Linked DNA regions of Tribolium castaneum. The protein of the gene in region 1 purifies or fractionates together with the protein of each later gene. This does not show direct contact. Links are inferred from orthologs where the notes say so. Each region holds a gene or a part of one and is shown in the gene's direction. Other genes may lie near its edges. The genes, in order: mts, hpo and Tap42.

Evidence for each region.
Region 2: the proteins of mts (region 1) and hpo purify together in Drosophila melanogaster (affinity purification with western blotting; 3 studies listed by BioGRID, with this or other methods). This does not show direct contact. The link is inferred for Tribolium castaneum from reciprocal best matches to the Drosophila melanogaster genes mts and hpo.
Region 3: the proteins of mts (region 1) and Tap42 purify together in Drosophila melanogaster (affinity purification with western blotting; 3 studies listed by BioGRID, with this or other methods). This does not show direct contact. The link is inferred for Tribolium castaneum from reciprocal best matches to the Drosophila melanogaster genes mts and Tap42.

Annotation. Positions count from the first base shown.
Region 1 is NC_087399.1:659,224-661,633, forward strand, and holds the end of mts (serine/threonine-protein phosphatase 2A catalytic subunit beta isoform), read left to right. Parts: intron 1-853; coding exon 854-1,146; intron 1,147-1,199; coding exon 1,200-1,272; 3' UTR 1,273-1,808; downstream 1,809-2,410. Other genes in the region: hgo (homogentisate 1,2-dioxygenase), read left to right, coding at 1,937-2,014, 2,060-2,326, 2,373-2,410.
Region 2 is NC_087403.1:7,367,065-7,370,122, reverse strand, and holds the end of hpo (serine/threonine-protein kinase 3), read left to right. Parts: intron 1-1,442; exon of another isoform or gene 1,443-1,479; coding exon of another isoform or gene 1,480-1,493; coding exon 1,494-1,573; intron 1,574-1,626; coding exon 1,627-1,803; intron 1,804-1,858; coding exon 1,859-2,017; 3' UTR 2,018-2,438; downstream 2,439-3,058. UniProt on the Drosophila melanogaster protein: Plays a key role in the Hippo/SWH (Sav/Wts/Hpo) signaling pathway, a signaling pathway that plays a pivotal role in organ size control and tumor suppression by restricting proliferation and promoting apoptosis.
Region 3 is NC_087398.1:9,399,456-9,402,957, forward strand, and holds Tap42 (immunoglobulin-binding protein 1), read left to right. Parts: upstream 1-1,648; 5' UTR 1,649-1,834; coding exon 1,835-1,951; intron 1,952-2,001; coding exon 2,002-2,913; 3' UTR 2,914-2,992; downstream 2,993-3,502. Other genes in the region: uncharacterized protein LOC659719, read left to right, coding at 332-551, 604-772, 823-1,208; probable RNA methyltransferase CG11342, read right to left, coding at 3,024-3,502.

The DNA of each region.
Region 1 (2,410 bases):
TATTTAGCTTCCAAACAATTTATCGGATGGAAATCTCGAGCGTTTGTCACCCCAAACACCCTTAATTATAATGAATTCATCACATTGCGACCTTGACCCGATTCTGGTTTATCTTGGAGTTGCTCTGGATAATTCACATTCTTGCGGAAAATTTATTACGGGAACAATAATTTCGCCAAGGAAAGTTTGCCGGTCGGTATTTTTAGATATTTATGAGTATTAAATCAGTCCGGTCTACTAAGCTGGTAATACCTGTTTGGTAAATCTTCAAACTCATGTTAATTAAAATTTTAAATTCATCCAAGAGTGATTTATTACGATTGCGGTGCAACTTTTTCTTTTTTTCGGTGAAACGCGTGAAAATCTTCGTTCCGTTTTTAATATAGCAGACGGAAGCATTCTTCCTGTTTCCTATTAGAAAAATGATAGAACGCTGGGGAAAATCGAATCAATACAAGCGAATTGGCCAAAAAACAAGCTCCCGTTTTGTTTATTTTGGCGAGTAATCGAGTTGTCGACGAAGGAAATACATTTTCAGGATAGAAAAACGGAACAGTGTGTGGGGAAACTGTTAAAATATTTGATAAACAAAATAAACACATGTTACTTGTTTTCAAAGTGGGTCAGGTGACTACTGTTTTATTAAAGTGGCTGCTTATCTAATTACTTAATAATGAATTTTACGCAAATAACAAAAAAATAAGCAAAATATTCCGTTCTTATTCATGTTTTTTTTTATTTTCTCATACAAAAAAACATACAATACAATTAAAAACTATTAATTTCAAATTGATTCAACTTTGCCATCGAATTTTTTTTGTGGAATTGATCGTGAGTGTGTATAATATTTTAGGTTCCTCATGAGGGGCCAATGTGCGACCTTTTGTGGTCGGACCCCGACGATCGCGGGGGCTGGGGTATTTCCCCCCGAGGGGCTGGTTACACCTTCGGTCAGGACATTTCCGAGACTTTCAATCATTCGAACGGTTTGACATTAGTTTCGCGTGCCCATCAGCTAGTTATGGAAGGTTACAATTGGTGTCACGACCGCAACGTCGTCACCATCTTTAGCGCCCCCAATTACTGTTACCGTTGCGGTAACCAAGCGGCTATCATGGAACTAGATGATGCCCTCAAATATTCATTGTAAGATGATGGTAGTTTTCGTGGTGATTTGGTTTTAATTGAATTGGTTACAGCTTACAATTTGACCCAGCACCTCGTCGTGGGGAACCCCACGTGACGCGCAGGACACCCGATTACTTCTTGTAATTCTTATATTTGTCAATCGCAATATCATAAACTTGCTTAGATATATTGTATTTGTTAACAAAAAAATGTAGCGTACAAATGACGCAGTCTGAAAGAGAACAAGTTCTTTTCTGCGCCCAGTTCCCATACTAATAATTTAACTGAAAGGGGGGCGAAACGAGCTTTTTTCTGTATACTGTTTTGTTAAATTATTATCAAATTCGAGGAGTACTGAGGTTTGGTAGGTTTGCCCTATTCGCGACCAAAATTATTATACATAAACTACAAGGTAGGTATGCATGTCCTAGTTATATACTCAGTGTTTTTAATTAAAAAAGTGCAGTTTCTTTCTTTATATTTGTGTAAAAACGTTCAGTCCGTTTTTTCTATACATTGTGTGATATTGTGTACAGGGTGTTTGCCCCCTGTGTATGAAATTACCTGAATTCAACAAACAAAACTGCGTTCGGCTATGGCTATAATCTCGTTCATTTAATAACATTAATTGTGTTTAAGACTGTACATTTGGTTTTCTGTGAAGTAAAAATTATTTCTAACCGGCTCTTTCATTGTCACCCCATCTCGTAACCTTTTCTCACCTAATTAATATTAATATTCCTCTCGAAAACTGCTCAATCATTATGTTTGTTGGGATATTTTATAAACAAGTTAAATCATTTACATAATGATATTTTATGCTGATACGAGCGAAAGAAGAATTCAGTTTTTATCCAGCTGTTATCACACCATGTCCACACTCAAGGTAAGCCACAGCCACATCTTGTAACCACTTGTAATCCCAGTGTAGTATTTGAGCGGTTTCGGGTCCGAATTTTCCTCGGAAGACCCCAGATGCCCCAACTCACTCCCGAAAGGGCAAAACAGCCCACAAAAGTGCCCATATGGGTTGTACGCCGAGCAATTGTCCGGGAGCGCCTTTACGGCACCCAGATGCGAAAACAGGAGGAGTTGGTTGTATAGAATCCGACCATCGGTGGGACACAAGCCCTTTTCGCCCTTTCCAGGGGTCAATGTTACGCACAACTGGACGGAAACAGAGCCCGACCCTAATCAGGTAAAAACCGCCACAAAAATTAAATTTATTAATTGGCGACCACCAGATGCGATGGAATCCCTTCGACTTGCCCAAACCCGGCGA
Region 2 (3,058 bases), on another chromosome or scaffold:
CTACTCTACTTCTACTTCTTCTACTTCGTAAATAAACGGATCGAAATAACCAAATAACAGAGTCTGACTGTAAAAAGTGTCTCTTTTTTTATCAACTGGCAATTGTAACATTAAACCAATGTAAGAGTTTTTCTGTAATTTTTAAACATGAAACGTATTTGTTAGCTATTTGCGTATTATATATCACCCATCACTAAACAAAACTAAACTTAGTTTAACTAACTTAAGAGCTTAACTTACTTAACTTAAGAGCTTTTAAAACTTACAGTCACCGCCGAATTTTGTATGACTTTGACACAGATGCTGCAAAAATGAAATAGATTTTGCCTGTACCGATAAATAAAACTGTTACTTTAATTTAATAATTGTATTAATTAACGCCCATTGAAGAATATCAGTTATTCGTGATTAACAATGACAATTGTTGACAATGACAATAACAATTAACATAATCAGCTTGCATTAATTATATAAATTAGTTAAGGTATTAAAAAAAACTGTATAAATTCGTAATAGTGTTTTAAAAATATAGTTATTAGCAATTAGCAAAGTTTTCACTGCAAAACTTGCTAAATAATAAGACTTCCACCTTGTTATCTCTCAAGATAAGCAGAAGAAAATCTAATTGAGTTATTTGATGAAAAATTAATAAATCTATCGATATAAAGTGCAAAACCTTGAAATATTTTTTGTGAATTGCCTGACTGCAATTTGCATTAAATCACTGTGACTAAATTTTTTAACCAGGTGATATCAAAGGAAATGTGGAAAATAACATTTTTAATTTAATGAGTTTCTACAAAATGTACAAGTTTCTCTGTTATTATAAAAACATTTGTGAGTCCAACTATTCTCTAAAAATGTCTTGAAAAATGTGGAAGTACTGAGAGGAAATAAAACCGAAACTTCAATAAAAACTCTTGAATGCACAAATGTTTGTGCTCAAATCGTCTTAAAAGTATTGAAATGAAAAAATTACGTCCACAGTTTGTGCAATAAATAAAGTGGAATCACGTACTTCTTTTTTATTATTCTACGCTTGAGACAAGGATAAATTAGAAACTGAATGAATTATAAAAGAATATCGATAACAGTATTGTAGAAAATAGTTGTAGAAAAACTAATACAAAATGAGTTATCATTATCAGTTATAATTTATAGAATTCCAAAAAAGCTCAGAATAAAGGTTACTTGGACAAGAAATAGTAGATTATGTATTTTTAATTTTATTTGTAAATGCAATCACACAGTAACATTGAATACAAAATTAAGCACAAACACGATATCACCAGTTAATTTAAATAATTTCAAAAATTATAATCATTTTGCGGTTAGGTCTTAAACTGACTCGTTGTATCTTTTATCTCAAACGGCTGAATGTATAAAAAAAACATTCGCAACGTGTTTAAAAATAGTCGTGTATGAGTGTTTTTCGTCGTGATTGAAATCGTGCATGTTTCTGTAATGTTGGTTGCATAGCAAAACCATTTCAGGGCATGACACGGGTTCGAGTCAAGGCGGCAAGAAATACCGGCCGTTGTTTTTGGAGCACTTTGACAAAAAGGAGGCGGAAGTAAGTAACAATTAATTAGTTATCAATTGATAAATTGTTTATTGCAAATTTAGGGTAACGGCGTCGTGACGCCTACGACGCTTGATGGTCCCGAAATCGTGCCTGACGAGCAACGTTTCCAAAGTCATTTTCATGTACAGTTAAACCAAGTGCCGTCGCCTCAACAGGCCCAACCTCAAGAACAAAAAGCACAATTTCATCGGCCTTTCTCAGATGGTGATTTTGAATTTGTGGGTATTTCATATGTGTGGTGAATTAATTGGGTTTGAGTGGTTGTTTTTTCAGTTGAAGTTTTTGAGTTTCGAGGAGTTGCAACAGAGGATGGCCAAATTAGATTTAGATATGGAGAGAGAAATAGACGAACTTCGTAGGAGGTATCAGATTAAAAGACAGCCGATTTTAGATGCAATGGATACGAAGCGGAAGCGACAACAGAATTTCTGAACTGTTGGCTCGTTGCAATGGAATATGGTGCTCAAAAAGTTAGGTTTTTTAATACTTGCCATTTAGTTTATCTTTGTTGCTTTTTGAGCCGAATATCGTGGTGAGGAAACAAGATGTGTTCCTACTTATTGTACTTAATCAGTTACGTACAGTTTTTAATATGTTATTCTCAATTTTATTTCACTAGATTAAAATGTTTTGCCATACCGGATGCACCAGTTAAACATTTTAGTTAATCATTAATTTTAATAAAATTGCCTTCACGACAAGTTTGAGCTTTTATCAGTGTTATTTTTGTACAGTCATTTTAACTCTAGGTTATAACCTGTACGATAAGTACGCTTGCTGTGCCTTTAGTAGTACCTAGGATTAAGTACGAGTGTAACCATATTTTTTGATCAAATAAAATTCATAACTAATATTTCCAATATATATTTACAATTATAAACTAATACAATAATTTCACAATAAAACAGTAGGCCAATCAAGCGGCATCTCCTTTCTCCTTACTGAAAGCTTGATTGAAATTAAGATTCGCTCCCTCATCGGCTAACATTTCGCTTGGTTGGCCCACAAATGAAAAATCAGTGTTAGTAGCCACAAGACTGATTGCGTTGAGTATTGCTTCGTGAAGTGAATTTTGCAGCTAATAACACCTGTAAACGGTCCAAAATTTCTGATTCTTAATCACAGCTGTACCAATTGGTGGTGATACAATAAGCACTTAAACACTAGAGTAAATGTGAAAGGCACTGTTACAATATGTTAGTGTAAAATATATTTTAGAAATTGTAAAACTAAGACTACAAGTAACCGTTGTCAATAAAATATATACATATACGTTACCAATTAAAGGCACAAAATGGAGGGATTAGTTCAGTGTGAGCATATTTATACGAGTTGAATCCTTCGCGATGCAACAAGTCTGGTCCTGGGAGGAGCAGGGGTGCATTGCACATACAGTAACAAGTAAAATTAAATAGGGATACAGTTAAGTATTCCTACCAATTAATAAAATTTTGCGAAAACATTATCACAACG
Region 3 (3,502 bases), on another chromosome or scaffold:
CGTCGAACGTTAAAAAATTAAAGATTGCCATCAGTCAGCATAAAAATATTGCTAAAAATTCAGAGTTGCCACCTAAGGTTGCCAAGTGTATGTTGCAATTCAGTGTTGCCAAACGTAGAACGTTAAAAAATTAAAGATTGCCATCAGTCAGCATAAAAATATTGCTAAAAATTCAGAGTTGCCACCTATGTCGCAATACATTAATTATAGCGAAATATACACTTCAAATTGAAACTTATTTAGTATCTAAAAATTGTGTTGCCCAATTATTAATGGTTAGAGCTGTTATGCAAACTTTTTTATCTATTTTTCAATTGTTTATTGTTTTTAGGCCTTGCATTCTAATATTCGATTCTTTGGCGGGGGCAAGTCGCAGTAGAGTTGTAGCCACACTTCGGGACTACTTAACATGTGAATACAAAGCAAAGCTCAACGAGGAAAAAATATTTACGAAGGATATCATCAAAGGTGCTTGTCCGAAAGTTCCTCAACAAACTAATTTTACGGACTGTGGATTGTATTTGTTACAATATGTCGAACAATTCTTTAATGTAAGTTGTAACCGAAACTATTTTAAAGAGCGTAAGTAACAAATCGTTTTAGGACCCAATTAAAGATTATCACATACCTATTTTACACTTGAAAACTTGGTTTGAAGAAATTACTGTAACCAAAAAAAGAGAAGATATTTCACTTTTAATCCAGTCGCTAATGAAGGAAGCTGGAAAAGATTTGGACATACTACCAGATGTTATATTCCCAACTCAAAACGGTATGATTTATTTTTGTTTTTTCGTTTAAATTGTTAAAATGTTTTTTTAGGTGAACTAACAGAGCGAGCGCTTATGGAGAAAGAGGATAAATTCATGGACGACGAAATGATGGAAGACGAAGATGAGGATTACGTTCCACCAATGGGCAAGATAACAAGTGACCAATCAGATGAAACTGGGGAATCAAATTCAGAATCACAAGGCAATTTCGCCCTAAAACCATCAAATGAAGGTGTTGTTAATTCGGAGTTTACCGAACAAGCTGTGACTAGCGCGTCATTGTTGAAACCAGATATTAGTGACTTACCGAAACAGAGCAGTAAAGACACTCTTTCTTATCTTAAAGCGAAACGAATTATCAGACACAAGAATAACATGAACAGTGATGGTGCACCCGATTCGAAAAAAGCTAAAAGTGAAACAAGTGACACTTAAAACGTGACTATTTTTAACTCACTATTTTATGATGCAAAATTTGTGAATGTTGTTAATAAATTTCTTTAGGCGCTTTTTTATTTAAATCGTATTTAAGTTTGTAAATTTTGTAGGCCACACAATTATGTTTGTTTAGTTGTATTAATGTATCGAGAAGATTACTTTTGGAATCAATAAATGAATATAAACATCCGGTTTTTCATTTCACCGAGGTCGTTGAACTAACAGTGTTGTCACCAGAGTAAAAACAAAATTATAAGTGTCGCCAACTAAAGAAAAATTAATGACACAATGTTGCCAATATAACAAATCTAAAAATCCAGTGTTGACAATGCACTAAAATGAAAAGTGTCAATGTTGCCAATAAAATAACTTCATGTTTCATGGTCGCCAACATAGAAAAACTAAAAAATAATTTGAGGCAAAACGCAGTTCAAATGACCACATTTTATCGCAAAATTGGTAAAATGTGCTTTATTTAGAATAAAACAATAGAAGTAATTCAATTTATCTTTATATTTCGTTGGTTGCACTGCGTTTTGACACTTCTTCGTGACAGGTGTTTTGTGTACAATATTTGTTATTTATAGAATGATAGCTCACAATCTAAATTAGAAAAAGTGAATATGGCAAATTCTAATGAACCTGACGAAACGAACCTTCCCACTTTATTTAACCAAGGTTTGGATTTATACAACTCAATCTGCAACAGCAATGAACCTACAAACAGCCCCCCAGTCCAGGTAATTGCGTTCGCTGATTTTGTGTTAAATCTTAAAGTCCCTGATTTTAGAGCAACGTAAAAAAGGCAATGAGTCTTTTCGAGCAAGCCACTCGTTTGGTGTCATTTGCCGGAATTTTTAGCACCAATGAAGGGATTGAAGAAGTGGCAACAAACGACCTACAGTATTTCCTCCTTCCAGCACTGCTAGGTTCCCTAAGTTTAAAATTAACCAGTGGTGAACGTAAAGAAATCATAAACGTTGCCGAAATTTACTTTAAGGATTTTTTGAGCAGATGCAACGATTACGGTTTAAGTAACTACGACTTTACCGAAAAGAAGGAACAAAAGAAGCCACAGACTGAACTGGAGGAAATCACAGTATCGGTAAACACGAGGGCAAACAAAATACAAAGGTACAAAGAACAAAAGGAGTTGAAGTCGAAACTCGCCGATTTAAAAACGAACATGGAAAATGAGCATGCTGATGAAGAAATCAAAAGGGACTACTTCCTAACTATGCTCAAGTCCTTCATCCATGAAGCCGTAGACGAACTGAACAGCATAGAAATGGAAAAACCAATACTGGAATACATGGCTAATGTGAAAAAGGATGAGAAGAAACCGGAGCCAAAAAGACCAGTAACCCCACTCAAGCCCATAATTATCACAAAAGATGAGGTCCAGAAGGCGGTTTTTGGCGCCGGATATCCTTCCTTGCCGACGATGACGGTTCAAGAATTTTATGATAAGAGGGTCAAAGACGGGATTTTTCCTGACCCTACTAAACCACCAACTGGTCCCATGAGCCTGCAGCAAGCTGCTTTGGCAGGGGTGGAGTTAAACTGCGAAGAGAAGGAAGCAGAAGAAAAGGAAAAAATCGTCGAGAGTGACGATCCAGAGTACATTGAGAGAATGCGGAGGATGGATGAGTTTAAGGACGAACACAGGAGGGGGTGGGGAAATAGGGCGAATAGGAGTTAGGCACGGAGTTAGTTATTTGTATTTTTAGAATAAATGTCTAAACTTTGGTTGTGACCTTTCAAATAAACAATTTTGCGTCGTTTTGTCATTTATTGTATAAAAATAAGACTTCAATTAACTGGAGGGCACTTGAAAATTTGCAATTTCCTGCCCCACTCGCTACGTTCGCTCTCGTACAGTTTCACTGCTTTACAACTAGTTAAAATGTGTTGTTCAATCTTATTTTCAACATCGTGCGTTATCTGCAATTCCTTAAAGAGAGGAAACGTTGCATCACTAAGTTTCAAACGTTTGACGGCACTTCTATAACATTTCCACGGTTGCGGTTCTATTATAACAAAGTCCCCTAAATCACAAATTTCGTTCAAAAAACGTATCAGGCCGTCATCACCATAATTTAGGTGAATCCACATTGTTATAGAGAAGCAAAAAACAGCGTCGAATTTCGCTAATTTCCGTTTTTTTAAATAATCTTTAATTAGGCTTTTATCACTCATAAAGTCTAAACAACGGAACTGTATGTTCTCTTTGTTTTGGTTTTTTTCGTTAGCTCTTTCCACTAAGGTTGGGTCAATATCAACGCCCAAAA